Kluyveromyces lactis: one gene and its partner. The protein of the gene in region 2 purifies or fractionates together with the protein of the main gene of each other region. This does not show direct contact. Links are inferred from orthologs where the notes say so. Each region holds a gene or a part of one and is shown on either strand. Other genes may lie near its edges.

What was found.
Region 1: the proteins of RBA50 (region 2) and GPN2 purify together in Saccharomyces cerevisiae (affinity purification with mass spectrometry; 3 studies listed by BioGRID, with this or other methods). This does not show direct contact. The link is inferred for Kluyveromyces lactis from reciprocal best matches to the Saccharomyces cerevisiae genes RBA50 and GPN2.

The regions. Positions count from the first base shown.
Region 1 is NC_006039.1:826,020-829,279, forward strand, and holds GPN2 (GTPase GPN2), read right to left. Parts: upstream 1,632-3,260; coding exon 588-1,631; downstream 1-587. Other genes in the region: proteasome regulatory particle lid subunit RPN8, read left to right, coding at 2,090-3,091. UniProt on the Saccharomyces cerevisiae protein: Small GTPase required for proper localization of RNA polymerase II and III (RNAPII and RNAPIII). May act at an RNAP assembly step prior to nuclear import. Required for establishment of sister chromatid cohesion.
Region 2 is NC_006039.1:66,688-70,223, forward strand, and holds RBA50 (Rba50p), read right to left. Parts: upstream 2,074-3,536; coding exon 649-2,073; downstream 1-648. Other genes in the region: SNA2 (Sna2p), read right to left, coding at 2,438-2,665. UniProt on the Saccharomyces cerevisiae protein: Forms an interface between the RNA polymerase II enzyme and chaperone/scaffolding proteins, suggesting that it is required to connect RNA polymerase II to regulators of protein complex formation.

The DNA of each region.
Region 1 (3,260 bases), about 760 kb from region 2:
TACGCCTTTGAGTAAATAACCTTTAACTATTGTTATTATAATTTCAGCTGAATGAAGGTGGTTGATACACAGACTAATGTTAAACAATAGAGAGTATAAGGGGAAAAGAAAGGCTAATAGGTAAGAAGAATTCTTTACCTCTATATATACATACTCTCACTAATAGCACACCTAACCTTCTCATCTGAGAAATAAGGATCATACCCATCCTTTACTCATTCTGGGAAACATGTCCCTTAGGCCAAAACAACAGCCCAGCGCAGGAAAAAAAAAATAGATCAGTATCCATGCAGGAATAACACTCCCCGCTTTAAATCACTACACCAACTGCATGCATCACCTAGCTCTCTTTCCGCTACTTAGTCTCTTCCATCTCATCGCATCAAAGATTCGAGACACATTTTTGACCCAGCAAGTAAATACTGCATCTCTTTTAATGTGCTACCTTGTCTACAAAATCTTGAAAAAATAAGATTTCTAAAGATCCCCTACTATAGAGTAGTAAACCCAGCAAAAAAAACAGAAAAGTTCACGCAAAAGAAAGGTGGATGGTTCGGGTGTGGTAACGGAAGCAGGATATGCATCAGTTACCTAACATAGTTGGTGCCTTGTTTTTCTTCCCATTCCCTGAGCGCCGATTCCCATTCGTCGTCTTCGTTGACGTCGATCTCTTTTGCTTGCATTTCCCTTTCTTTGAGCTGCTGGTCACGTGCTTCCTTTTCTAGTTTATCATACGTCTCTTTATTTTCGATCCATCTATCATGAACGTCGTAGTTGACCATGGCTGCGCCTTGTCTACTAGCTTCTGCCCATACTGTATCTCCTCCTATTTCGCTCGAACCAAATATGTATCCGTTCGCTTTATCTATAACACTTTGTAAATTGATCATCGATTGTTTGTCATCAATGGCAAGGACCTCGAAAGAAACTAAATTGAAATCAGAGACCATTTCACCGATGGTTTCAGTGAGCCTTGAGTATTTTCTCCCTAATACACCCGACCCTTCCTTCTCAATAAGTGGATTTAGATATTCCAATTCTTGGACCTCCGTGAAGTAATCCAATCTGAAAGGCAACTCTCCGTATCCCTTTAGCATATCGATCTTTGAGAAGACATTGATGTGTGGAAGATCCATCATTAGCATCGATCTTAGTGCAAGTAGAAGGATCGAAACGTACTGCGAGGGAGAAGTAATGTAAATACAATCGATCAAATTCACAACACATAGCCTGATATCCAAATCCTTCTCTAGTCGTTTGAAAATCTTGAACAACGCCGAATTGTGTGTGAATAATTCGACTTGCCCGGGACAGTCAAAGACTAGGTATGCTTTCTCCTCTTGTACTAACGATTTGATCTGCAATATGAACAAATCGATCGACTCATTTAAAGACTCTATCGCATACATTAACCCACCATTCGGACCCAAATGCTGTTCTGACATAATCTCTTCTAGCGTGATATAGTCTCTAATATCGACCGAACACGGATACGGGAGCCGATGGTTGGCTGGATCCATATTTATCACTTGAACATGTCTTCCGATTGCATTGAAAAACTGGGAACAACCATGACAGTACGTTGATTTACCAGACCCTGGAGGTCCAATCACAATTTGGCCAAATGGCATCTTTATATTTATTTTCTAGAGTATACCCAAGGTCTTCGTACAAACCGTAAGCCGTCTTGTCTCCTCCCTAACCGTATAAACATGTCCTTTCATCTCATCTCATTGCACAGAATCTTTTTAATATTAAGCATTGAATTATGTTCGCTTCGCAGTTCCTAATATTTCGAGATTTGAAAATAAAAAAAATGAAATAGCATTAAGAACATTAGTGGCAAATATTAATTTGACAAAAATACCTGAAATAATGGGGCACTTGAAGATCTATACACTCCTGAAAGCGAAACTGTGATAATACTTTGAGATTGTACTAATTGAATTACCGTGACCAATCTAGCGTTTTGGGGTTTACTTATAAAAGAGAGTCAAAAAAAGTGCTTAGTCAATCTGCATTTCTGATAAGCTAAGAGAATAGAAATCAAACTATAAATTGGAAACAGCTTGGCAACAACCAATTGATAATGTCTGTACCTTACGAACAAGTTTCAGTTGCACCATTGGTGTTACTTTCCGTATTAGACCATCATCAGCGTACAAATACTCCGGAGAACAAGAGATGTTTAGGTGTCATTCTAGGTGATAGTTCCACGGCAACCGTGAGGATAACTAATTCGTTTGCGTTGCCGTTCGAAGAAGACGAGAAGAATCCAGACGTTTGGTTCCTAGATCACAACTACATCGAGACCATGAACGAGATGTGTAAAAAGATCAATGCGAAAGAGAAGCTAATTGGTTGGTATCACAGTGGTGGGAAATTAAGGGCTTCTGATTTAAAGATTAACGAGTTGTTCAAGAAGTACAGTACCAACAATAATCCCGTGTTGTTGATACTCGATGTGAAACAAGAGGATATCGGACTACCAACGAACGCATATGTGGCTGTGGAACAGATCAAGGATGATGGTACTTCGACTGAGCGGACCTTTATACATATCCCAAGCACTGTGGAAGCAGACGAGGCGGAAGAAATTGGTGTTGAACATCTACTCAAAGATGTCCGTGATCAAGCTGCAGCTGGTTTATCTATAAAGCTAACTAATCAATTAAATTCTCTTAGGGGCTTGCAAAGAAAATTGAAAGACATAGTAGCATACTTGGAAAAAGTGGCAAACAACGAGTTACCTGTGAACCACATAATTTTAGGAAAATTGCAAGACATTTTCAATCTTCTTCCAAACCTCGGAACCCCAGATAAAGATGAAATGATCGGCTCAAGTCATGTCTTAGACAATGTTACCAACAATTTGGAAAAAGCCCTCACAGTTAAAACCAATGACGAACTAATGATCATTTACATAAGTAATCTGGTCAGAGCCATAGTTGCATTTGATAACTTGATTGAGAACAAAATTCAAAATAAGAAACTTCTTGAAAAGCATTCGAAAGTTGAAGTAGAACAAAAGGAGGATGCCACTAATGACGGCATCCCTGCTGAGTCGAATTCGGTACCTACTAAGAACTGATGCAACTCTTTTAATAAACCGAAACGAAAATAATCAAATATAGTATTTTCTGTATACTAAGTTACAACTACGCCATATTTCCTAAAAATTTAATGAGAATTTAAATGAAGCAGTATGTATGTCTATATCTAAGATCAGCACCATTGGCATCGATATGGAACTGATCAAT
Region 2 (3,536 bases):
AATTGACTTACTAATGATTAACTGCCCATCTGCTTTACTTCGAAATTAAATGACAGGTTTATTTACATGTAGCTAAGAGGATTCCAGAATGTCAACAATTAAAAAATGCACTATTCTCAATTTCCAGTCGAACTCTGAAAATGTCAAAAAAAAAAACATAAAAAGGCCAAACTCATCGAATAGTAGATTTGCATGCGATATCCACTTGCATTCTAATCGTTTCACTTTTAAGAGAACAACCAATGCACAACTTAAGTTGATGGTATGGTGATTATCTGTTGTGAAACAGGTTTTTGCGTACAATTAGATGTACCATCGATGTGTCTATGTGCTGAGATCAATCAGTGAGGATTTGGTACAGTTGCTACAGGTTTTTGAGAACATCAGATTGAACATTTTATTTGCAAAATCTGAACCAGATACCCCAGAGACCTGTAATCTGTACACGTATAAATACATGCAGCGCTATCTCGATTGTAATTCTTTCCAAGCTCACTATAGAGTTTTTCTATCAGTCATGAACAAGGATAGAAAAACTCAATCGAGATACTTTTGTTTTGAAAGGAGTTGCATCGTGTTCAATACTACCAAAGTATCTTTCGATGAATCGATTTGTTTTAAATGGATTTACGGATATTTACGAATATTTCATTCCTTACTTACAGCTCTAAGATCGCCGCCTCCTTGCTTCCATAGCCAGAGTGCGTCTATAGCATAATTTCTCACACTGATGTTTGCGGTTTTAGATTCGTCTGCCGCTAACTGCAATGTTTCTATAACTTTACAGTCCTTCATCACATCCCAAAACATGTAGTAGATTTTGTTTATTATTTGCTTGGATCCCCCTTCTTCTTGATACGTTTCAGCATCGACTTCAGGTACAAGTTGAGCGTATGACTGCTTACCGAGTTTATATAGAATTCTTCCGAGAGTTTGAATGGCAATCGACCTTTGTGCAGGGAATTTAGAAAGAGATAAATGAGCAAGTTCTGGGATGGTATAACCTGCGAGCTCTGGAGCGTCCGAATGGTGATGTAAACCATTGTTCGTAGTGGTCAGTTTCCTCCCAGGGGGTACCATATTACCTTTGAAGTCAAATCGACAAACAGAAACGTCATGAATGACTTCTTCTGCCTTGCCTGTGTTTTCTACTTGTTGCATCCATTTTAATTTATCTGGTTCTTGCGGTAGGTCGGGGAAAAACTTCTTGTGTAACTCCTGATCGAAGTTAGGGTCATTTATATCCAAAGGCTCATATTCTTGTTCCTTCCCCATGGTTTTTCTTGCCTTTATAAAATGTACCTCCGCTAGTAAGTCTTTATTACTCATATGATCTATACTTTGAACAAACTGGTACTCTTGGGGTGCCATATCATCTTCGTCGTTGAAAGTTCCATTAGGTACTTCATCGGTTCGATCATACTCGTCAGGTTTGATATTGTGAACTTCCTCTTTCTTCAGATCTCGCTCAAATCTCACAGATTTCAGAGGCTGAACCTCAACAGAATTTATGCCTAAAGCCTCATCCACAGCCTTATCGTCTAATTTGGGTAAGTCTTTAACCTTGTTGCTTCCACCAATCCACGTACCTGGACCTTCGATTTCAGCATACTGCGGAACAGGTGGTTTAGACCTCGATGTTTCACCATCCTTTAACGACAAGGACGTCATTTTTTTGTCAACCCGAGCAATCAACGATTTCAACACATTCGGGTTCAAAGAATCCATTAACTCTTGTCTTTCACGTTCGAATTGCTCAGGTGTCATACTCTGTAACACAGCCAAGTTTTGAAGATGTATTCTTTCTGCTTCAGACAAGGCATTAGGGTCTGTTTTAGTATCATCCGAGAAACACGAGTCATTTCCAACCTCAACAAAGTTAGCATTTGGAGGTTCTGATCCAGTGTTACTTCTCTGCTGTTTCTTCTTCTTCTTTTCCATTAAGCGTTGCTTCCAACTAGATACTTTCTCTGGCTGATGTAACTTGGGGAAGCCAGTAGTAGGCATACCTTGGTTGGAAACGGCATCTGGAGCAACGGTTTCTCTCTCGACAATATCACCAAACAAATCCATGTCCTGCGGTTTGGTTGATTTGCAAGTGCTAAAGATGCTGTGCTACCTAATAGAATAGATATGCTTTATCATCTCATCGCATCACATCTGTTCATCCAAAGACTTTCATGTGAAGCCTAAAATAATAAATAAACCCACACACCACATATTTAAATCAAGAGGCCACTTTAATACCCACATAGGAAGGGATTAATCAGTAATAGAACACGTACATTAAATATAGGAAAGATTATATGAAGCTAATGTATGAAATATGAACAGGATTCATTGTTTTTAAACCAGCAAACCCTCCTGGACTCTGTTATTCCAAGTTTTATTATATCAACCATGATGATTAGTATGATTCACAATTATTTTGAGTGGCTTATGACATAGAGCCGTATCCCTGGCCGCGGCTCAATACATCACCTTCACTTTCGTATGGGTGCTTTGAAATAACCCATAGGGCATGAATCAAACCTGGGAAGAATCCTAGAAGGAACAATAGCACATTAAGCAGAAAATCTTTGGTGAAGAAGCCTCTCTTTATCCAAACTGCTACAGGAGGTAGAAAGATCGCAATGAACACTAGAAACCAGTCACGTGCGTGCATATTTAAATGGTTTTTAATTATGGACTTGGATTCTCAACAATTGACCATGTACCCCAATGTAAATTATCTGCTCTGTCATAGAACAAGGCCCCGACAGTACCTGGAATCGCAGCGTTAAAATCCAGTTCTCTTATATAGTTGCGTTGATTTTACAAGCTGCAATATACCAATAGCAAATCCCCTGAAATTGCACTACGTAGTTTTTGCCGTGATGATGCTTCGCCAGCAGTCTTTAGGCCCATGGACTTAAATTGCATCTGAGGTTCAGAGCAAAAAAGAGATTATCAAAAGGATAAGAAAAAGGAAATGGCAAAAGCGGGTAACAAATAAAGAAGAATCACTCAATCACGTGATAACGATTTTATTTACCCGGTGGTTGTGTTTCCCGGGTAATAATATTTACATATGGCCAAAATACATTGGTTGCCTCAAGCAGGTTTTGAGGACAATGACCCCACCTCAATACAGCATGATATTGTGATTGAGAAAAAAGCTTGGTAAAGTTAAGCACCTCATGCTATGGTTCTTCTGAAGCTCCAATTGTGTGACTTGGAAAAAGGGCCGAAAGTTCTAGACACTCAGATTATCTAGAACGTTCTACGAAAAAAAAGGAAAAAGAAAAAAAGATCTCTTGATATATCATGTTGCTAATAATAGATTTATCAGTGCCCATGGTAGTCTAAAACAGAAATCTAGATCTAGATCTAGATCTGGTGTTACTTTACTGCAAATAGCAAGAAAAGCGAGATTTAATCTCTCAGGTCATGACTGCATTGCTTTTTACCACTCCACTGTACTTCAGTGAGATCTCAGTTAGCAACTAAAAGGCGAAAGGCGTCACGAGCTGCGATCTTCACGCGTAACGTTATTT